3 linked regions of the Diceros bicornis minor genome follow. The protein of the gene in region 2 purifies or fractionates together with the protein of the main gene of each other region. This does not show direct contact. Links are inferred from orthologs where the notes say so. Each region holds a gene or a part of one and is shown on either strand. Other genes may lie near its edges.

Region 1 (8,010 bases), on a different chromosome or scaffold from region 2:
AGTGATGCCCTCAAAAGCCTCCATGGCCAGTGTGCTGGCATTCTGAGCTGAGCCAAAGACTGCCCACTTCCACAGCCTTCCGTGCCAGGGCCACCCACCTCCTCCTCCTTGCTCAGACTGTCGGGCTGGGCCAGCCGGAAGAGGCAGTCATAGACAGGGTTCACCAGGGCCATCATGGGCATGTTGTTCACCTGTAGGGGGAGAGCGGGGGCCAGAGCACTGGCTTAGTGGCTGTGGCAGACAGGCCGTTCTGCTGCACAGGGGGGCTGCTGGGGCCTCACCCTTAGGTAGTCAAAGATGTTGCAGATAAAGGTGACATAGCAGACCCAGCCCTGCAGGGAGCGAGCTCGCAGCTGCTCCCGAGCCTGGTACTCCTGCTGCAACCGGTTGAGGAGTCCACGCCGGAAGACACTCTGGCCTGCTTGCTTGCTCTCTGCCTGTGAGTCAGGGAAAAGACCGTGAGTGGCTGGGGGCGGTGCCATTGTAACCCCACCCAAGCTACCACGGCTGAGGACCTGCCTGTCCTACTCCTTTCTCTGCCTCTGAGGGAAGCCCTTTGCATCTCTCCCCTGCTGGCCAGGTCTCTGCCCACTCCTGAAGCACCTTCCTCAAAGCATCTCCCCTCTTCTCTGCCAACCCCACCCAACCTGAATGATGGCGTAGCACATGCGTCCTGCTTCTTTGCTGAACACACAGTCCTGCAGAGAATGGTCCACAATCACATTGGCCACTTTTTCCAAGTCCACAGCACCTGGATCTAGGGTAAAGATAGGCACGGAGTCTAGAGCTGTTTAATTATCATATTTGCCTCTACCTGCTTTTTTTTTCTTTTTTTCCTGAGGAAAATTGGCACTGAGCTAACATCTGTGTCCATCTTCCTCTATTTTATGTGGGATGCCTGCCACAGCATGGCCTGATAAGTGGTGTGTAGGTCCATGCCGGGATTCAAACCTGTGAACCCCGGGCTGCCAAAGCAGAGCACGCAAACTTAACTACCAGGCTACAGGGCCGGCCCCTCTACCTGCTTTTCAGAAGGATTTGAGATGTTTACAAAAGAGCAAAGAGCACTCCCATTATATGCTTACATTGAAAGAGACCAGAAAACAGGGAAGGGGGACAGTAACCCCACACAAGAGCAGCTCTAGCTGTGAGCCTCCTGGTGGCCCAGTCAGAGGAAATGGAAGATAATGTGGCTGTTAGAGACTAATCAAAGTAAAAATGCTAGTTTTTTAGGACACACATCTTTTCCTGCCAGTAGGTTGAGGAAGAAGCACCAAAAAACAATGTCTTCAACAGCAATTTTATGGAAGAAAGTGTTCTTATAATACACACACATGAACCCCTGACAAAAGTGGGCCAGGCAGGGCCTCCCGTCCCATAGGCTCACTTGGCACTTGATGGGCATGGCTAATTGTTAGCTGAGTCAACCTTCTGTCCTGAGTGCTGCAGGAAGGCATCGGTCCAGGACAATTACTGTATCTCCTCTGCCAAGCAGAACACTCCATCCTCTGTCCCAAGTCAGGCAGCTCTGCACATTCAAGAGAGCTGACTGCAGCAACGCAAAAACCAGATCCGATATAAGGACTTAAGGGGCAGGAACTGTGTTCTCTGTGCCCTACCCCTTTCATGGGTACTTAAACTTTAAAAAAGGCTTTACAGTCTGAGAGGTGACTCTGATTCATACTCCCAAATATTGGCCTAAATGTAGCTTGTCTTCCAGTTCGAGAATTATGTTGCCGACTCCTCCGAAAGCGAAGGGAGAGGGCTGGGCATTCCTGGCCTAGGGCTCAGTCCTCTAGTCCTGTCCCCTTGGCCCCTTCTCTGCAGCACTGGACCCAGGCTCAGGAGGGCTCCCCATGCTCACCTTTGATTGCTGTCTTCAGCAGCTGCTGGGTCTCTGCATCAAAAGATTGGATTTTATACTCCTCTCTACCAGGCTCCCCCATGACCATCCAGCCCCAGCAGCTCTTTACTGGGGTGGGACTAATGACAGCACCTGGGGAGGAGAGGTGAAGGGAGAGGACTCAGGTGTGCAGCATGGGGCTGGGGTTCCCAGTCCTGCAGGCCCTGGGTGGGGCTGACCAGCGCTTGGGACAGGTGCTCCTGGGAGGTTCATGACATTCAGTGGTTGGCTGAGAGTCCACCAAGCTTGGCTTCCTGTGGAGACTGGCCACCAGCCAGGCACCTGCTGCTCAGTTTAGGAACCCCTGTAGTTTCTGGGATTACATAAGAGTAAAGAGATGAAGGGCGAAATGTGCCTGTCCCAACAGGAGGCAGACTTATTCCCAGCTGATACCAAGGTTGGGGTGCGGTGGCGTGCGGTGAGCTGGGGGTGTAGATAGGTGGATATTAGACACTTGCCCTACCTATATAAACCGGCCTGGAAGCTGCTGGCCCAGCACGATTCCGGGACAGAGAAAAGGCTGGGGGCTCTAAGCTGCCGACAGCTCTGTCTCACCAGGGTTCCAAGCCTCTCTCCCCGAGCTTCTCCCTCAGCGTCAGTCCGAGTCCTTCGCAGTCCACAAAACCCACCCCTCCAGCACTCGGGTTGGGGCCAGCCTGCCCGGGTGGGTGCAGGAGCCTTCTCTGCCGCCCCACGGACGGGCGAGCCCGAACTCCCCCTGTCCTGGCCAGCTTCTCCGCAGGACGGACTGGTTAAATTGGCCTCCCAAGTGGCAAGAACCCGGCCCTGCCCAGTCAGGACTCCCAATTCCTGAGCTCCATTCTGGACCCTTCCTTGTAAAGAGGGGAGCGGGATGACGTGTCCTCCAGAGGTAGTCCCCGTTAGAGTCCCCTCTCCGGACTCGGTGCGTCCCCCCGGTCAAAGGAGACGACCTTGGGGGTCTCCAGACCCGGGCAGCTTCCCTAAGCCCGGAACGCCCTTCCCAGCGGCGCAGGGCCGGTAGCGGACGCCGCCGTCCAGTGTCCCACGGGCGGGAGAAGGGGCGTGAGCGCCGAGACCCACCTGCCGGGCCAGCGCCGCGCCCGCGTGCCGGGAGGCAGCCCGGCGGGCATGGTGCGCGCGCCCCGCGTCGGCGGCGCTGCTGGTGCAGCCGGCCGCGCCTTGCCACCGCTTAGGTCATTTCCTAGCGCGGCGCCGGGGCGGGGCGGCCTCGCCAGCACCCCCTGCCGGAGCCCCGGCGACCCTGACCTCGCCAGCCCTGCCCTCTCCTCACCCGGCTCGCCCCGGGTCTGTCCAGGACCACAACGGCTCGTCGGCGCAGGGCCGGACCTGCTCCTCCGCCCGCCTGAAGCCCTCAGTCTTAAGCGGTGGCACCGCGCCCCCCCCACGCCCTCACGCCAGAGGCTCAGGTTAAAATTGGGTCAGAAGAGGAGACTCGGCCCAGCCGCTCTGCGTGGGAGAAACCTGTGGAGGGCGTGGTCCGCACCCAGGACCACGGAGTGGGGGTGTCCGGGAGGCGGGGAGGAGGCAGAGAAGATGGCTGGAAGGGCTGGAGTTCACAAGTGGTGGCGGTGTGCCCCCCACTCCCATCCCCTAAGGTAGAGAAGGCAGGGGGGCTGTAACGGCTGGATCAAGTCCCACTAACCTCCTCTCCTACTCAATGTACAAACGATACAGGTAAAGTAAGTTGAAATCAATGGGCCAGACCAAGAGAGGGTCCCAGTTGCCAACTTCTGACGCGTGAGGAGCTGGGAGTGACCCTAAAGTTGAGCAAGCCCCTGGCCCGGTCTTTCTTGGCTGGGGCTGGGGGAGAGTGCGGGCCCAGCAGCCCAGACAGGGCCATCCATCCCTGAGGTTGGCCCTAGGTTGCAGGAGGGCATACAGCAGGGGCTGGAAAAGAACTGCCTCTTCCCATGGCTTAGACAAGAAAGAAGTGTGGATGGCGGTTTCCTGTTGCCAAAGTTCTCTCCCCCTGTTAAAGAAGCCACCAAAGTGGTCACAGACAATGGATGAGGAAGAGAACTCTCAGCTGCAGCAAAAGAAACCAATGAGCAGGAGAGATGAAGAGAATCAAGTTTACTTCAATTGAATTTTATAAAAAATACATTCAGGCAGCTGCCTCTTAGCAGCCCCAAGCCCAGGCCTTGAGGGCCCCAAACCCTGTGGGTGTCGGAGTGCCCTCCAGCCACAGCCTGGACCTTCATAATCAGCAGCCAAGAGGAGGGAAGCTTCAGGATTCAGGGTCCCAGACATAACACAAGCCCCCAGGCCAGAGATGGGGCAGTAACATTGGGAGAAGGAGCCCAGAATCCATGGGGAGCGAGGGCCATGTCACCCACACAAGGCCTGCTCCCAGCTGCTGCCTTCCTCGTGAGTCAGTGCAAAGGCTGGAGCTAGAGTCCAGAGGTGGGGGTGGAGTGGAAGTCCTGCATGGGACTCCAGCCTGGCTCCCCCTGTAGAACCAACGCTGAAGACCAAGCTCCCTTCGGGGGTGGGGAGCACTGGGGTGGAAAGGGTGGTAGTTGTGTTCTGCAGACTTTCTTCTCCCCTTCCCCTCTATGCCTAGATGAAGATCTGTTGTGGGTTCCTGTGCTCTGACAACTCCCCAGGGCACCAAATGTGCCCTCACCAGGCTGTCTGCCCAACCCCTTCCTTCTACCAGCCCCTTCACTGGGCTGCTTCAGAGTGTGGCCCTTTTCGGGTTACAGAGGATACATACAGCACCATGCTAAGCCGAGGAGGAACACCCTGAGCGGACAGCTGATGCCAACTGGCCCAGCTGTAAGCTCCCACCCACCCAAGAGGGCTAACCCAGCCCCCGTGAAAGAGGAGTGATCCCAGTAGACTGGGGACAAGGGCTGCTAACTCTACCCACACCTCTTGCCCATCAGCGCATCTCCCCCCTTCTTGCGGGGCTGCTGGTATCTGCTTTCCCTAGAGGCCCATGGCCATGACCAGTCCTGCCTCAGGGGGAGAGAAGCCTGAGTGGGACATTTACAGACACGAAGATCTGGGCACAGGGTGTTTATAAAGTGACCAGTTCAGCTTGGACTCTTCCCCCAGAACCAGAAGCAAAGCTGCCTGAGGAAGGCAACTACCGAGAAAAATGGAATTTGAGGAAGGCAGGGATCCCTTCCCTCAAACTATGTGAGGAGGGATTTGGAAGGCAAGATGGAGGAGTAAGATAAGGAATGTGCTTTTAGCTTTAATGTCTATTAAATAAGTTGGTGGGAATAAGAGCCCAAGTGTGGGGACCAGACCCCTGCAAAGGGCCTGATCCCCGCCCTCACACTCAAGCTGCAGCCCCACCCAGAGCCAGGAGTGTTCTCTGGGCAGACGGGGTGAATATGTGCAGGATGACAGCTGTTTCCTTTAGAGCAAGCGTAGGCTAAACAGAGGAGAAGCAACCTCAAGCTCCTCCGACTGGCATGGTTGGGATCCCACAGACCAAGTCCTGCGCTCTCCCCGTGCTCTTGATTGGAGGAACCCCTTGCCATTCTGGTGGCGTCCAAGCTGGTGGGATCAAGCTGCTGCCCTGCTCCCAACAGCTCTTCAAGCTCGAGACAGCTGGCTTGAAGGAATGGAACAGGCAGCACCTCTCAGTGCAACACGACACCGTAGACCTCAGGCCACCCTTCCTGCCTTCAAGGCTAGCTGTCTGCTTTCCTCATGTGGTGGAAGAGGTTACAGAAGAGCTCGTACCAGAAAAACACAAACCCGGTGGAGAGGGCAGCCTTCAGCAGGCTGGGCGACAGGCCCTTGAAGAAGCCCTGCGCGCCTTCCTCTCGCAGCACCTGCTTGGCACAGTCCAGCAGGCCCTTGTAGCTTCGAACCTGGGGAGAGGAAGGTTACTCCAGTTAAGGAGAGAGGAGGTGACTGGCTCTATTCTTTTGTCAACATAGCACCTGGCACATCATAGCTTCCAATAAATACTTGCTGGATGAAGGAATGAATGCAAAAAACACAGAGAATACATTAACCTCATTCTTTCTCTTCCAAGTGGGCTAATTCAGACCTAACAGATGAAGTGCCGGGAAATCAGCACTGGACAGAGCTCCTTCCTGCCCAGGAGGCTCCCAGTGACTGTGGCTCTTAAGGACCCAGTGAGAGCTCTGGACCTTCTTCCCAGAGGCACCTCTGACCCTTCACCCCATCCCACCTGGTCCCCCTTGGGCAGCAGATCTGAATCTGCCCCTTCTTAGCTCTTAGCCTGACCAGTGCCACCCCTACAGCCTGGCCCTCTCCACTTGACCACATACTGCTGCCAGACCCATGTCCCCAAGGCACAGCTCTACTCAAGCCTTGCTCCCCTCCAAAAGCTTCAGTCACTTCCAATGATGATGACAATGATGACAACAACATTATAAAGAATCAAGTCCAAGCTCCACGGCCTGGGCATTCCACCATTTGGCCTCAACTTCCCTCCCTGACCGGCCCTTATCCCCCACTGGTCCTCCCACGGGCCCCGCCCACCTCCAGCCAATCTGGCTCACACTAGTCTCCATCAGGAACAGGGCCTCCCTCCTCTGTCCTGGGCTCTCACCAACTCTCCCTATTCAAATTCAAGCTGTCTCTTCAGGACAAGTTGGCAAGTGGAAAATGGAGGTTATAAAACCTTGTATAGGGACCAGTCTGGTGGTGTAGTGGTTAAGTTTGCACGCTCCGCTTCAGCAGCCCAGGGTTCGCCAGTTTGGATCCCAGGCTGAGACCTATGCACCGCTTGTCAAGCCATGCTGTGGTGGCGTCCCACATATAAAGTAGAGGGAGATGGGCACAGATGTTAGCCCAGGGCCAATCTTCCTCAGGAAAAAGAGGAGGATTGGCAACAGATGTTAGCTCAGGGCTAATCTTCCCCACCAAAAAAAAAAAAAAAAACCACCTTGTATACAACCCCATTTTTGTTAAAATGTACACATGTATTTATTTATGCAAAGAAATAAAACTACAGCCAAAGATTCTGTGTGATGATCTCTGGGTGGGTGGTGGTGGAGTTACAGGTGATTTTTATCTTTCTTTTTGTCTATCTGACTTCCCTAAAGTTTTCTAGAAAGAAAATATCTTACAAATATAAACCCAATTCTTTCTCTTCCCCCAAGTCAGGAGCACTCTCTCTCTTCCCTGTCTCCCATTCCATGGTGTCCCTCTCTTCTGACATCTGTCAGGCATGTTTCTTCATGCCTTGACATCCCAGGTTCCCAGGTCCCAGGGGGAAGGCCCTGGATTACCCACCCTTGCCCCACCCCCACTCTACCACTGCCCACCACCGAGGCCTTTCACAAAATCAGTGTGCCAAAAGGCGTGAATAAAAATCCAATATGTGAAAATCGAAGCCAACTAAGGAATGTCTATTAACATTACAAAATTACCTACAACAGGGATTCTTTGGATGACAAACTCTTCTAGTGCATTTAAAATATAATTTAGTTGATCAAATTCACCCCTTTGCAGGAATACCTACAGCATAAAAAAAGCACCCCATGCACCAATGCGTCTCCTCCATGTTATTTAATATTTTGGGGACCTTTCTATTGTGAGTATACTCTTCATCCCAAACTGAACTGGACACTTTTTAAGAGCAGACACTGTGAAGCTTCCTTTGCCTGGATCTTTCCACAGTGCCTACTATACACAGGGCTTTGCGTGTGGCTTTCCCATGTGCTTGGGGATCCCTGGGGACAGGCCGGGGGTCAAAGCGCTGTAGGGCCTAATGTTGCCCAATGGGCAGGAACTGACCTGGTTCTTCATGTGCCCAGTGAGGGGCAGGGACCGGGGGACAGCTCACCTGGCCAAAGGCAGCTCGGGCCTGCTCAAACCCTCCGACCTGCAGCCGTTTCTTGAAGAGGTCCAGGGGATACGTAAGGGTCTTACTGATGACTCCAGCTCCACTGCCACAAAGCAGGTTTTTGAGGTTCCCTGAACCAGAGAAGTGGGATTAAGGGAAAAAATGAGAGACAACTAGGGTAGACAACTTCAGAGTCATGAGGTCTAATCCTCTACCATAAAACAAAAGCCCACAAGCAACCTTCATCTCAGAGGAATTTAATCCAGGAGAGAGAGATTCAGACACAGCCATACTCGGCAAGAATGACAAGGGACAGCACTTGGTC
Region 2 (7,146 bases):
TTTTAAGGCAATATAAGGATTTAACATTTTATCTTCAGCTAAATGGGAGACCACTGGAGGACTCAGAGCTCCATCTCAATGACAATGTTTGATTACCTTCTCTTCACATCTATCCCCAGGGCTGTCTAGGCCCTCTCCTACACTCACACCTCCTCCCAGATAATCTCACCTAGTCTCAATCTTTAAAAGCCATCCGTATACGCTGATAACTCACATTTATATGCTGATAATTCACATCTGTGCCTAACAGGAGTGGTCTCCTCCATTAAGACTCTTAGACACCATTAATTTCTTCATATCTTCTCTTGCTCGTCTGAGAAGTTTCTTAAGCCTACCCACTGATTCCTTCCCCGTGCCAGGTCTGCTCCATCCCCATTCCCTTCATCTTGGCAAATGGTTCCACAAGCAACAAAGGTGTTTAGGCCTAAAAAACTGGAGTCATCCGTGACTCCTCTCTGCACCCCCCAACCCAACAGCAAGTACTACGAGTCCTGCTTTAAAAAGTCCATCCTGAGAGGGCAGCCCGGTGGCGTAGCGGTTAAGTGCGCGCACTTCGCGGCTGGCAGCCTGGGTTCGGATCCCGGGCGTGCACAGACGCACCACTTGTCAAGCCATGCTGAGGCGGCGTCCCATATAAAGTGGAGGAAGATGGGCACGGATGTTAGCCCAGGGCCAGTCTTCCTCAGCAAAAAGAGGAGGACTGGCAGCAGATGTTAGCTCAGGGCTGATCTTCCTCACAAAAAAAAAAAAAAAAAAGTCTAACCTGAACCATACCTTTTTCACCACTCCCTTCACCTGAACTTAGCTGCCCCTGCCCTCGTCCCTCTCTAGTCAGTCCCAAAGAGGCCAAATATGTCCCCACCTGAGGGCCTTGGCAGGCGAATCCTCACAGGGACCACCTCCCATTTCGTCCCAGTCACCAGACGTAAGGTCCCTCAACCGAGGCCTTCAATGCCCATGGGCTCCGAACAGCACGCTAACCTTCACCACCATGATCCCCTGCTTCTTTCTTCAGCCACTCGGTGTCCCTCTGAAATACCTTGTCTGACTTGCTGACCCACCCACATTAGCGTACAGACACAACAAAAATGGAAATCTCATTTGGTAGGTGTCTTGACCTCCCCAACACCCTGACCAACCTAGAAAATGCTCAAGTAAACACATAAATGCCGCAACAAAGGCTCATCAGAATGAAAGTACCTAGGGAGCACGAGGATGGAAAGACAGATCTGGAGCTTAAATCTGGGTTTGCATCCTGGCATCCACCTTTGGTGACTCTGGTAAGATACCTAACTTCTCTAAGTCGACAGTTAAGAATGAACCTGACTAGGGACCGGCCCCGTGGCTTAGCGGTTAAGTGCACGCGCTCCGCTGCTGGCGGCCCGGGTTTGGATCCCGGGCGCACACGGATGCACCGCTTCTCCGGTCATGCTGAGGCCGCGTCCCACATACAGCAACTAGAAGGCTGTACAACTATGACATACAACTATCTACTGGGGCTTTGAAGGAAAAATAAAAGTTTAAAAAAAAAAAGAATGAACCTGACTAGCTACATTAGAATATTCTAAGTTTACAGTAGCTCATGATGCTGTCCCTGGAACATAGTAGGGCTCACTCACTGAGATTGAGACCCGTATTTGTTGACACCCGTCACTGGGATACATCACAGGATCCTCAAGCACCTCACAGACACGTCGTGGCACACAAGCACCTTACCTAGTTAAGCGTGGTGAGGCACAGGCACTTTAACTATTCACGTGTGGTGAGGCATATGCACCTTAACTAGTCAAGTGTTGTGAGGCATAGATGCCACGACTCGTCAAGCATTGTGAGGCATAGGCGCCTTAACTAGCCAAGTGTGGTGAGATACAGGTGCCTCAACTAGTCAGGTGTGGTAACCCCTAAGTGCCTTAACTAACCCAGCACTGTGAGGCACAGGTGACTTAACTAGTCATTGCATGACCTACAGGAGCCATAGCTAATCAAGTGTTGTGACACATAGGCACCTTAACTAATTGGGGTGGTGACCCACAGGCCTTAGCTAGTCAGAGGAGCGACCCACAGGCGCCTTGACTAGCCAGGAGGATGACCCACCGGCCTTGACCTAGTCAGGGTGGTAACCCACAAGCCTTGACTGATAGGGGTGGTGACCCACAGGCGCCTTGACTAATCTGGGACATGACCCACAGGCTGTGACTACTCAAGGGAAGTGACCCACAGGCGCCTTGACTAGTCAGGGGAGTGATGCACAGGCACCCTGACTAGTCTGGTGGTGACCCACAGGCCTCGACTAGTTAGGGAACGGGTGTACATGTGACCCACAGGCCTTAACTAGTAGGGAGGAGGTGGCCAACAGGCCTTGACTAGTTGGGGTGGTGACCCACAGCTTTTGACTAGTTAGGGAAGAGGTGTACATGTGACCCACAAGCACCTTGACTAGTCGGGAAGGGGGTGACCCACCAGCTGTGACTAGTCTGCTGGTGACCCACAGGCCTTGACTAATCGGGAGGCTGGTGACCCACAGGCCTTGACTAGTGGGGAGGGAGATGATCCACAGGACTTGACTAGTCGGGAGGGGGGTGACCCACAGGCCGACACTGCTCCAAGGCCCAATGCCCGCCTCCCCCGCCCGCGGCGGCCCGAGGGAGCCCCGCCGGGCATCGCCTGACCCCTCGCCGGCCGGGCCGGGCCGGGCCCACCTGTCGGGTCTGCGGTCGCCCGCCGGCCTCGCGGGGCCCTCGGCGTCCTCCGGCTTCCTGCGCCTCCCGTCGGCTCTGCGCTTCCGGCCGAGGCTCCATCTCGCGGGGGGCGGCGGGCTGCCGACGAGAGGCCGCGTCAGGGGCGGACGGGCCCCGAGGCCCCGCCCGGCCCCGACCCCCGCCCGGCCCCGCCCGGCCGCCCCCCGGCGCGCGGCCCGGCCTCACCTGGCGTCGCCGTCGCAGCGGCTCCCGCACCGGGGGGGGCTTCGCGGCCGGCAGGCCATGGCGCGCGCGGGCCGAGGCGGGGCGCGGGGTCCGGGCGCGGGCGACGGCCTCCTCGCGGCGCCGGCGCTGACAGACTGCGCGCGCCCCGCCCCGGCCGCCTTTATGCGCCGCGGGCCCCGCCCCCGGAGCGCCCGCGCGCCAGGCCGGGCGCGACCATCGGCCACCGCGGGGGAGGCGCCGCCGCGCGCCTCGCGGGCGGCCCGGGCCGGGGCGACCGCAGCCCCGACGCCGCCGCTGGAAGGCGGAGGGCCGCCCGCCGGGGACGGAGGGGAGGCCGAGAGAAGCGGGCCCCGCCGGCGTGAGGCGGCCGCGCCTTCGCGGGCGAGGGAGGGGTATTGGCGGGAGATTCGGTCGCGCGCGCCGCGGGCGTTAGGAGGGGGCGGACTCCGATTGGCCGGCCCGGCGGGGCGGTCTCCGCGCTGGCGGGAACCGGGAACCCGGAAGGGGAGGCAGGCGAGCAGCGTCGGGTCGCGCGCAGCGCTGTCTCTTCAGCTTCGGCCGGAACTTGTTCGCGCGGAGATGCCCGCGCCGCGAGGCCCGTCAGTTCTCACCCCCGCGGTTTCCGGCGCCGCCTCCCGCGCTGACACCGCGATCTCCGGGGCCCTGGCCCGGCCTCATGCCGTCAAATGCTAACGTGTGCAGAAGAGAGGAGACGAGGCCCCGAGTGGCAAGAATCAAACACTGAAGCCGCAGAGAACTCGAGTCCGCCCGTCGTGTTTCAGCCCGTTATATGCACCACTTTCCTAAAAACGTTCGGGTCTGGCAGTGACGTGGGGGCAGCGAGGGCGCTGTCGAGGAGCTCCCCCGGCCGAGATCCCGGGCGGCCGGGTGTGGCTGCCCTCCTGGGCCACCCAGGCTACCCGGCACCTCAGGGGACACGGCCGCGAGCACGGGGCCGGAGGCCTCAACCAGCAGGCCCCGCACCCGCGGGCTCCTGCATCCTGAGCGCTGCTCACGGACCCCGCCCCCAGAGCCCTGGCCGCAGCCCCTTCACCGGAACACCAGGCCCAGGCCCAGTGCGCCCACTCCCGCAGGTGCCCCAGAAATGGGCTTCTTGAGACCCCCGCCCCAGCTAGGAAATTAGAAGGGAACTTCCTGGAGCACCCGTCTCCCTTCTGGTTCCGAACAGAACGCACACGTTGAAGTGGGCACGACACTGCCACTTCTAAGTTGGCTTTTCCTCTTTACGAAAGCTCGAATACCAGAAAACCAAAATATTCCGTTTGGAGATAATATAAAGTTCAGACTAACATTTTATTAAATATGTATTGCTTTGCTGCAATAGGTGTATCTTCATAAAACTAAGTAACTCTTTTGTACTAAAAATTACCGCAGACCCAGCCCTCCCTTGGCAGCACCCAAAACTTCAAGCTGAAGCTGAGGGTGGCTCCTGGCTGGCCCCTCTGATGGCCTTCATCTGCTGAGCACCCTGCGGGCACACAAATCTGGGCCTTCTCCGCTCCCAACTCCCTGGGGTTCAGTGCAGCCTTGGGCAATCCAGGCCAGCCGGGTCCATCAGCCCTGCTTAGGATGACCAGGTTTAGAGTGCTTAAGGCCCCAGGTTTCAGGGCTCCAAGCGAGGGCCCCTCCAGCAGCCACATATGTCAGAGCTGGGGACTGGCACTGCCCTCCCCTGGCCAACTGTGCCACCAGGAATCGGGAAGACACCTGTCCACACCTTGACCACTGGGCATGTCCCCTCCTGAAACAGATGGACCCTGGGGGGCTGTGGCCAGCCCTGCGCTGTGTCCCAACAGGCTTGTTGGCTGATGTTGGCTGTCTCAGTGGCACTTGATCTTCAGCTCAATACCCACGCTCGGCCAAGAGTCTGAGGCTTGGCCTTTCCCTGAACCCATGGGGGCAGCAGCAGATGTAAGTGCACGCCCCTCCAGGAGCGGGTGGCTCCCAGAAACACACAGGAAGGGAGCTGCAGCTGAGAGCAGCCAGCCCTTCCCCCAGCCCCTGAGGGGAAGCCCAGGATCTCCCTGGGCAGAGAGCAACCCCTTGGCTGGCTGCAGCCACTGGGAAGCTCTAGGCAGTGCTCTCACCCTGGAGCAGTACCCCAGGTCTCCCCCTGCACCTGCAAGCTCTGCCTGAGTGCTCAGAGCAGCCTCTGGGGCGGGGGGCGCGAACACCACAGGGCCAGCAGCAGGCTTGGGGACAGAAGCAGGAAGAAAGGCTTCGGCCAAGTCTTAGAGGAATCTAGATCTAAAAGTAACTGAGAAGCAGGTGTGCTCCGTAAAAATAAGGCAATTGGCTCACGTTAGACACACTGGGACCTCCCAGAAGACAGCTCAGGAGGCCCAGAATGCTCTGGATATGGGCCCAAGGCTGTGTTCTCTGTGCCCAGCACAGCCCCACCCAGAGAAACGGGAGCGAAGGAAGCAGAGGCACTCAAGACCTTCCTTGCTGCCAGTGCCAGGACCTCAGCTGGAACTTCCTTTCCAAACAGGAGCCCTTGCACTTCCACAGCCTCAGAGCAGAGGCAAGTTGCCCGCTGGGAGAAGAACTCTGGGCCTGGGAGCCTGGCTGCTCCCCAAGGCAGTTGTGGGGACCCTGGCACGGCTGGCCTGGACCAAGGCTGCTCCCTTGCCAGGGCCTGGCCAGCTCAGCGCACAGCGCACACATCCAGGATGCAGAAACGCGCACGGCAGGTGGGGCAGGGCACGCGGCTGGCCAGCCAGGTGTCAGGGTGCTGCGGGTCCTGGCGGCTGGCGAACCACTTGCCCATGCAGGTAAGACACCACATGGGGCGGCAGTAGCACTGCTGGCACTCGCCCTCAGCTGCCTCCTGGCACGTCTTCACCAGCTTCACACTGGCACGAGTCTGCATGCAGCCAATGCAGGCCTCCAGCTCCTGCAGGTGGGCCGAGGGGATCACGGGGAGCCTGGCCAGACGACCCCATGGGGCCCCCCACCACCCCAGGGACCTGGCCCATAGGAGCTGGGCTATGGGACCCCGCCCACCCCTGCCCAGCCCCTCACCTGGCTGCTGGGAACCGAGTAGGCCGGGTTGACCGCCACCAGAGAGGCAAACGTCTCCAGGAACAGGTCACCCAGGCTCTGGCGGATGACCACGTTGGCCGCGCTGCGGATGGGCGCCTGGAGCTTCTCACACAGCTCGCCGTACTCCGTGGAGTTCAGCCTGCAGGGAGGCGGGGCTGCTGGGCTGGGGCCGCTGGACTGAGGCCCCTCGGCAGGGCAGGACCATCATTTCCCGGCAACCTGACACAGATCCTGGGGCAGGTGGCAGGGAGGCCAAGGCTGTGCCCCGAGGGTGACCAGGGCACCACAATCACACAGAACATGGGGACTCAGGCACAGCCCAGCTGTCCAATGAAAACCAGCCAACAGAGATGGCCCTGAGGCCAGAGCCCACGGACCCAGCACTGCCCACCTGACCCCACTGGCTGCAGAGAGAGACAAAAGGCAGGCCAACTGCAGCTGAAACACAGCAAGGCTGGTCCTCAGCAGACCCAAAACGTGTCTCAAGAGCTCAGCTGGAATGGGACACAAGACCTCAGCTAGAACCCAGACCTCAGAGCTGAGGCAGCCACCAAGCGTCTATCCTGTACAGCCACCAAGTGTCCCCAACATGCTCCCCAAAGAAGCTGAAAAGGCAGATTCAGAGAAGAGCTTGGAGAAAGAGAGAGGAAAGGGTACTTGTGGGGCGCAAGGGGGGCAAGGGATGAGGGGGCCAGGGAGGGGCCTGGGGGGTGCAGTGGGGGCTCTGAGGGGGAGGCACTGGAGGGATGGCTGCAGGGGCTGCTCCACACATCATCGCCTCCCGGGGGGCACAAAGACTGGAACCTGGGCACTGGCTGGCTCACCCCCACCTGACCTCGGGCATGCCTACCGGATGTCGAAGGCCCGCACGGCAGGGCTGGCGCTGGCCACGTGGATGGTGAGGAGCTGCACCGGCAAGTTGGAGTCCGGCGAGAGCTCGTGCTGCTGCGACTGCGTCACTGTCAGATGCACGTCCTGCTGCTGGGCCACATACACGCAGTACGTGGTCACCTTCATCACCCACGTGTCCGTCACGATCACACGGGCTCCCGGTGCCCCCGTGGCAAACTTGTCGATCCGCCGGAACTCGGTGTTGACAGAGGAAGCAACGGCCCGCCAGTCCGACTGCGGAAGGGCGTAGAGGGCCAGGGTACGG
Region 3 (7,997 bases), on a different chromosome or scaffold from region 2:
TAGGAACTAGTAGCAAATGAAAAGTGTTTTGACAAAGAATAAATACCAGCATAATTTACCCCCTTTCTCAGGTTCAGTACCTCCTGAGGTGTGAAGACCTACTCTCCAAAAAAAAAAAAAAAAATAACTGGTCACTATTTAAATAAAAAGCCATAGGGCAGAAGAGAAATCAGAAAGGGTGGGGGTGGGGGAGCAGCCCTTCCTCTACTGAGAGGCCTTAGGCAATCAGGGCACTTTTTGACCCTCAGTGTGCTCATCTGTAAAATGAGACTAATACCCCCCCTACCTGACAGGACCGTCTTAATAAATGTGATCATACAAGGAGAAAAAAACTGCCCTGTAAAGTCATACAAACATATTATTATTCTAGCAATCTCTTAATCACTGATGACACTGTACCCCAGAATGAGTTACAAAATTACTGTCTCTAAGCGTACATTATCCAGGACAGACACTTGACACAGCCGATGAGATGAGCTGTGTGTAAACCGAATCCTGTTTCAAATACTCAAAGGGAGTTTCCTCAGGCAACCTGAGTGCATCCTGTGAGGGACTGGACATCTTCTATCGTCTGCTCGGTGCATTCTGTTCCCGTAAAATTGGGTTTTCTTGAAAGCCAGGCAACTTCCTCGCGCGGTCAGAGCATGCTCGGAGCCGAGATTCCTGAGGTTTTCGGCCCAGACCCGGCGCTGGGCAGGAGGAACCGGGACCCGACAGCCCCGGCCCCTCCCCGCCCTCTGGGCGGCTCCTTCCTTTCTCCTCCAGCTCGGGTGGCGGCAGCGGCGGCGCTCGTGCTGTGTCACTTTCGCCCTCTGGAGTCTTCAGCTGCCGTGGAGCGGGCAGCTCCAGCGGCTTCTTCCCTTCGCGCGCGGGCCCCTAGCCTGGGAGATAATCCCCCGACCGGAGAGACCGAGCGCCGGCCGAGAGGGCAAAGGCTGGCGGCCCGCTGGACACTGGACAGCGGCGCAGGCGGCAACGCCAGGCTGGGCCCGGGCCGGGGCGGCCGGGCAGCCTTTGATCCCCACTGTCTCCAGAACCAAGAATTGGGAGCCGGGTCGCAGAGCGCGCTGATTCTCTCCAAGGTCTGCGCAGGCAGCGGCGGGCGCACGGGCACGCGCACCCACAGAGCGCCCCGGTGCAAGGGTCACCCCGAGCGTGTCCGGCGGGCGGCGGCGACACGCGCGCGCCCGCGGCTCCTGCCGGCCCAGCCAGACCAGCCCCCCGCGCCGCCGAGGAGGCGGCCAGTCCTCGGGGTCAGGGGGCGTCGGGGACGCGGAGTGAGGAATAGTGTGACTCTGGCTGCAGGGCAGGACGGGGACTCCCTGAGGGACCCCGCTCACATACAACGCCGGAGTCTCCCCCGGCCCACAGTCTCATGACCCCCTCTCCAAGTAACCAGGGTGCGCGCGCGCGCGGACACACACACGACGACGAGCTCAACTGGCGCCACGAGGGGGCTGGCAGGGCCAATCCCCGCGGGGGATCGGGGCCCACGCGCGTCCCCACTACGCAGCGGTCTGCGGTCCCCGCCCCCCACACATACACGCCAGAGCGGTGTGTACACACAAACAGCTGGGCGGGGGAGGCGATGCCTCACTCCCCGGGGTGGGAACGCACGCGGCGCCGCCATACATCCCTCCCCTCTACACGCCGCACCACCCTCCCTGCTTACACCTGTGCCCCCAGCCCCAAAACTCAACGAAACCAAACAGCCAACGCCGCCCAGATGAGGGGTTCAGACCTTCGATTGTCTTCTAACGTCAATGGAGAGAAATAACCAGCTCAGACGCGCCGTACCCGGGACCCCTTCTCCAGTCGCACCCAGGCTCGGGCACGCGGCCCTCAGGGGCCCCAGACCTCCGCCGCAGACCGAGCCACCGCCCCCTGCCCACCCTCCCCCACTACCGGCGTCCGGGACAGTCACCTGCTCGTCATCCCGAAGAACCCAAGCCAGAGCCCACCCTCGGCCGCTCGGGTCACTCGCCACCGCGAGCTAGCTTTTCAGAGCCTGTCAACTTAACCCCCAATCCGCCAGGCGGACCTATTCCCCAGGCCCAATTACACCGCGGCGACGGGAATAATAATAAAAATGCCAACAGAATCACCACCGTGGGGAATGTCCAAAGCAGCGACAGCAATAGCTCCACCGATCCGGTTTCCTCCTCTGCTCCCATCCCCCGCGCCCCCCGCGGCCCGCGGGCTCGCCGGGGACGGAGGGAGGGTGCAGCCTGTCTAGACGACAGACATCCCCGCGCCCGCGGGGACGGGCGCGCACACACACGGCCGCTGCCACAGACACAATCAGTCACCGGAGGAGGGAGGGGCGGCGTGGAGACACTCTCTCGGGGTCTCTCCGGCAGCCGCGAGTGCAGCAGCCTCCGGCCCTGAGCCCCCGAGCCGCGCTCCCTACCTCAGCGGAGCGCAGTCAGAACAGCTGCAAGTTTGGCTGGTACTAACCAACTGCTCGATGCAGCAAATGCGGGCGTCAAAACAAAAGGGAGAGGAATCACGCTCGCTCTCTACCTCCCCCCGGGTCGGAACCCGGCACATGACAGCGGCCACACCGCGCGGCTCCAACGCGAGCCGGGCTCCAGCCGTGCGCCCCCCAAGAACCCCCCTCCTCACCGGAGCTCCAGGGCGACGGCTGCCCTCGGGGCAGGGAACCCGGCAGGGAAGAGGCTAACCTGGGGAGCGGGCGAGATCATGGAGTGCCGTCCTCAAGAGAGTGGGGGACGGTGGATGGGCGCGGACGCCCGGCTGCCCCGGCGCAGGAAGGGGGGAAGGGGGCTAATTGTTTGGGGCGGTTTTCCCGGATTTATCTATAAGCACGCGCACGTCACGCAGCCCTCCTCCCGGGTCCCCGAATCGATGGGCAAGCTGAGATGACTAAAAGAGGGGGGCAGACGAGGGGATGCTCACCTCGGGGTTCCTCCGGCCGCCGCTCCGAGCCCGAGTCGGGGGGTGGGGGGAGGGGGCAGGGAAGGGGAAGGGAGGGAGAAGGCTCGGAAGAGCCGACTCCTGCCTGGAGTTCCGCGCGTCCCGGCTGCGGAGGGGATCGGGCGCCCCAGCGCACAAACCCAGCCGAGAGGGGAGGGAGGGAGGGAAGGGAAAGAGGGAGGGAGGGGCGGGTGGGGGGGAGGGAGTAGAGGAAGGAAAAAAAAATGAACCCTGCTCTGACACAGGGAAAGAGAATGTAGGAGAGTGACGTCCAGGCCCCACCCTCCCCTCCGGCCACGTGCAAAGACTTGAAAGGAAAGAGGGCGGCGGGAGGCCTGCTGGGTAATGTAGTTCGCCTTTCTTTCCTAGGATGGCGGGCCCTGGAGAGCCGGGCGCCGCCGGGACGCCGGGGATGCAGCCAGAGCAGCCGCGACAGCTCAGCCGAGCGACGCCGAAACCTGCCGCCCTACGCTCGCTCCCCCAGGACGCTGGGGTGGGGGCCTCTGCGCTGGGAGAACTGGGGTTTTAGGCGCTGTCCAGGATTGCAGGGAAACGTTTAGTTTTAGGGGCTGGAAAGCTTTAAAGATGAGGACTTCCGAGCTTCAAGTGCAAAGTCTGTCCTAATGGCAGAGAAAAGGAAGCTTTGTGTATGCACCGGGCGGCCCAAGTGGCATTATTAATGCTGCATTAAAGGCTAACGTCTGTTATTGAGATGCATATGTTATAATTAACATTTGAACATCTCCGTGGCAGGGGCGGGATGTTGTAATTAGATATGCACTTTGCAACCAATTAATTTTCCATTGGCCATGCTAAGGGCTGGGACGGGGGACGACGAGGTGGCTGGGAGAATTCAATGCAATGGATAATTCAGTAATCACTTAATCAAATCACCAATGTTTTCAGACTTCCTACTAGGTGCCAGCCACTGAGCTTGGCACAGAGAGGCCTTCAGGAGAAATATACCATGCTGGACACCCCTGCAAGCAAAGGGGTTATACAGTCATTGGAGGAACTGTGTGACACAGTATAACTGCCTTAGAAATCCACTTATTAATTCATATAACATTTGGTGGGCACTTTCCACAGACTGGATGTGTCTGGGAATGCCAAGACAAGTAAGACCCTTAGTCCCTGCCCTCAAGGAGCTCAAAGTCTAGTGTAGGGACCACAGTCAATGAAAGTATAAGGGATAAGTCAGCATTGAACATAGGGATAAGCGTAAAGTGCTAGGGAGCCCTTAGGAGGAGCAGCCAACCTGGATGGAGGGTGGGTGGGTGTGGGAGAGGGTCTGGGAAGGCTTTCGGGAGGAGGCCGTACTTGAGCTAAGAATTGCTAAGATTTTTAACAAAGGCAAAAAGGAAGGGTAGGCATCTGACTAAGGCTACAGAGTATAAAGGATCCAGATGAGCGAGAAGAGAGCGAATTCTGAGAGTCCTAGTAATTCAGCAGGGCGGAAGGGTAGATGGATGGGGGGCAGAGGTGGAGGATGAGTCTAGAGGGCAGAAGGAGCCTGGGACAGCTTCTCACTGGAGGACAGGCTTGCAGTGGGCCTTGAAGGATGGGTGGGATTTCATTTTGTGTGGGGAGCCTGTCTTCCAGGCTTGAGGCTCAGCATGAGCCAAACCAGGGAAGGAAAGCAAAACACCATCACAGTCACATCCTATAGGGCAGCTCATTTGATTCTTGTACAGTAGTCCCCCCTTACCCACAGAGGATACTGGAGGAAACACCCCCCCATGGATGCCTGACACCTCAGACAGTACCGAACCCTGTATATTCTATGTTTTTTCCTGTACATACACACCTATGATAAAGTTTAATTCATACATTAGGCACAGCAAGAGATTAACAACAATAACTAAGAATAAAATAGAACAATTATAACAATGCACTGTAATAAAAGTTACCATAGATCTTAGCAACCTCTGCATATGATTTTTTTTCTTTCCTTATTAAGTTGAGAACTTTCACCTTTTCACCTAAAGGAAGCACTTTACAGCTTCTCTTTGGCATATCGGAATTGCCAGCATCACTACTCTTGTGCTTTGGGGCCATTATTAAGATAAGGGTTACTGTAACACAAGAACTGCGATATTGCCAAGGTTGATTCGATAACCGACAGGGTTACTAAGTGGCTAACAGGCAGGTAGTGTGTACAGCGTGGATACGATGGACAAAGGGAGGATTCACATCCCGGGTGGGTCGGAGCCGGTCGGTGCGAGATTTCATTACGCTACTCAGAACCTGTGCAATTTAAAACTTATCAATTGTTTATTTCTGGAATTTTCCATTTAATATTTTCAGACCACAGTTGACCGTGGGTAACTGAAACCTCGGAAAGCGAAACCACAAATAAGGGAGACGACTGTACCAAAGGGCATGGAGGTGTCATCCCCTCCCTTCTAGAGGAAGGCAGCAGGCCCACTGTCATGCACTGGTAAGAGGCAGAATGGGTACTGGGAGCCAGTTGTCTGGGTAGCAGGCCCAGTCCCCCTGCCAAAGGAACATAGTTGAGCACACCTGACTCTTCCCGCTGGTTTGTCGCTCTTAGCATTTATGGTTCATTGACTCAGCAGTGTGTTATTTTTATGCTTTAACATCTGGATGATTTCCTGGGTTTACAAAATATAAAATAATAGTACCAGAGTCTATCCACTCTGCAAATTCCCACTTACCTGCCTTTTGTGCTGTTTTGCACATTGTGCGAGAGGCCCGCCACCTGCAAAAAAACAACAATGGAATTGTCTAGGTCTTGGTTTTGCCTTTGCTTTAAATCACATCCCAGAGGTGAGGAGAGGATCCACGCTGGAGGTGGAGAGAGGCTGAGCAATGTGCAGAAAGCAAAACCTTGGTGGAGAGTACATGCATCTGTGTGAGGGGTGCACCTGGGGTGACACGGCCAGTGGGAGCAACACAGACTGCAGAGCCTGACCCCTGGGTTTGAATCTCAGGTGTGGCACTTCCTGGATCTGCGACCTTGGGCAGCTTACTTAGCCTCCGAACAGGTGACCTTGGGCAGCTTAACAACCTTTCTTGGCCTTGTGAGAACCAATAGTGATAATGCATTTAAACTGGCTCTGTCACATAGCAAGTGCTTGGTGATAGCTGATTCCTTTCCTCCTCCCAGAGTCTTTCTGGGCCAGGAGAATGATCCCTGAACTTCTCTTTCTGCAGAGTCAGGCCAGCAGAGCTGGTGCTGCATGGAGGATTCCTGGGGTGGGACTCATCTTCATATGAAGTAGGTTAGGTTTGTCTTCAAGGAAACTTCACCCAGTTCTAATTCTCACATTCAGCTGGCCCAGCTTTCTAAATCCTCACCAGCTAACAGTGCTTATGCTCTTCTCCTCCTCGCCCTGCTACCCAAGGACCACATAGTGTTACCCCACCCAAGGTGCCTTCTCTGGGCAGTGTCTCCGGCCCACACTGCTTCTCCCCACCCATCGAAACTTACCTCCTGCTCTCCATATACTCAGAGCCTGGCTTCTGCTTTACGTCCAGTCTAATAAACCTTCACTAACTATGATGAGATAGTCTTTTCATTCTCCCCTCCAACCCCAACATTTTTGTCTTCTTATTGCCATCTCTCTGAAATGGCCTCTGATGATGGGGATTCTAGGCTGGAATGGGGTCTTTGAAGGAAGACTGTGGGTCCCTAAAATTTCCCAGGGTGGGAGGCCTGGAGCTTACTCTGTCCCTCATCTGTTGTCCTTCCTTCTCTGCTTTGTGGTTGATCTTATGCCCAACCTGCAGGCTTAGGTCAGAGGAGCCACTGGGTGCAGAATTAGTGAAATGACACTGCATTGGTTTAATTGTGGAAGACTTGAGTTGCCAAGAGTTGACTTTGTCTGACTTGTCACTGCATAGCCTAGAAATTAACAGCCAGACTGTTTCTCTCTGTTTTAAGCAGTTGATTTCCCTAATTCACACTTGCCTAAGATAGTAGCAAGTATCTTGCTAGTATATAGCAAAAAGAACTATTTCTCCTTTCTTCCCATTCTTTCTCCTTCTCCCTACCAGCTTTTCCTCCATCAGTCAAAATGTTTATTGAAGGCCTGATGGTGTTACTGAGCCCTAAGGGACCGGTGACCCACAAGTGGGTCCTTTTGCCCAGAGCCGCTCGTGCCAATAGAATGAGACCGGGTTCGGAATAGCAGAGCAGAAACTACTCGTTGATCAAGGAATACGGAGAAGGAGAGCTCACGCTCTAAGACACCTTCTCTTCAAGGTGACCAGGGTTCTTATGGGATGTGAAGGGGGAGGGGCCTCTGCGTCATTGCTCGGGCAGGGGCATTTGGGGCATGCGCAGATCTTCCCTCCTTGCACGTGGCACTTTTGCACGCGGTTGCTTTTGCCAAGGGCACCCTGTCGCCATCTTGGACCTTTCTGGTTTGGACTGGTTCTGCAGTTTGGCCATCTGGCAATGTTCTGCCTTGGTTCCTATAAGCAAGCACAACTTAAAAACAAAGCATTAGACATGGAAAATGTTTTGAGGACTTCTCTAGGTGACAGTGGGAGCCTACCAGAGTGCAAGGGGAGAAAAATTACCTGCCTTCAGGAGCTAAGGAGACCAGGCTGGCAGCCATGATATAATAGGGAAACTGACGAAGTGCTATACTGTGTGAGGGTGATTTTAAGGGAACAAAAAGTTCCTGGTAGGCTGGAATGGTCAGAGAAGGCTTCTGGGAGGAAAGTGGGACTAGATCCACTTGTAACTTCCCATCAGGAGGAGGTCAGCAGTGGCCTAAATCCCTATGTTGTAGCATTGACCTGGGAGGCATTGCAGAAGTTATCTTTAGGTGGAAACCAGAGAATGGGCTCATCAGCATCAGTTTGGTGTCCATCGACCCTGCAGAAGGAAGGAAGTTACCGGTCTAGTGTCTACGCTCTGTTACTGTGGTGTTGGCCTGGAGAGATAATGGCTTGATAGAACCAGGTTGAATTTCACCCAGGCCTCATCTCAGCTTCCGCCATACAACCCCCAAAACCTACACCTAAAAGGCAGGTGTAAAGTGATCCTCTAGGGTGAAAGTCGGTGGTGGAGGAAGGGACGTCAGTAG

What was found.
Region 1: the proteins of SLBP (region 2) and MIF4GD purify together in Homo sapiens (affinity purification with western blotting; 3 studies listed by BioGRID and IntAct, with this or other methods). This does not show direct contact. The link is inferred for Diceros bicornis minor from reciprocal best matches to the Homo sapiens genes SLBP and MIF4GD.
Region 3: the proteins of SLBP (region 2) and CTIF purify together in Homo sapiens (affinity purification with western blotting; 3 studies listed by BioGRID). This does not show direct contact. The link is inferred for Diceros bicornis minor from reciprocal best matches to the Homo sapiens genes SLBP and CTIF.

The regions. Positions count from the first base shown.
Region 1 is NC_080757.1:55,775,972-55,783,981, forward strand, and holds the start of MIF4GD (MIF4G domain-containing protein), read right to left. Parts: upstream 3,042-8,010; 5' UTR 2,966-3,041; intron 1,997-2,965; 5' UTR 1,953-1,996; coding exon 1,865-1,952; intron 758-1,864; coding exon 648-757; intron 438-647; coding exon 282-437; intron 192-281; coding exon 99-191; intron 1-98. Other genes in the region: SLC25A19 (mitochondrial thiamine pyrophosphate carrier), read right to left, coding at 5,554-5,736, 7,686-7,816. UniProt on the Homo sapiens protein: Functions in replication-dependent translation of histone mRNAs which differ from other eukaryotic mRNAs in that they do not end with a poly-A tail but a stem-loop. May participate in circularizing those mRNAs specifically enhancing their translation.
Region 2 is NC_080747.1:1,095,639-1,102,784, forward strand, and holds the start of SLBP (histone RNA hairpin-binding protein), read right to left. Parts: upstream 3,009-7,146; 5' UTR 2,984-3,008; coding exon 2,925-2,983; intron 2,817-2,924; coding exon 2,700-2,816; intron 1-2,699. Other genes in the region: TMEM129 (E3 ubiquitin-protein ligase TM129), read right to left, coding at 5,593-5,841, 5,970-6,129, 6,841-7,146. UniProt on the Homo sapiens protein: RNA-binding protein involved in the histone pre-mRNA processing.
Region 3 is NC_080755.1:41,178,901-41,186,897, reverse strand, and holds the start of CTIF (CBP80/20-dependent translation initiation factor), read right to left. Parts: upstream 3,073-7,997; 5' UTR 2,920-3,072; intron 1-2,919. UniProt on the Homo sapiens protein: Specifically required for the pioneer round of mRNA translation mediated by the cap-binding complex (CBC), that takes place during or right after mRNA export via the nuclear pore complex (NPC).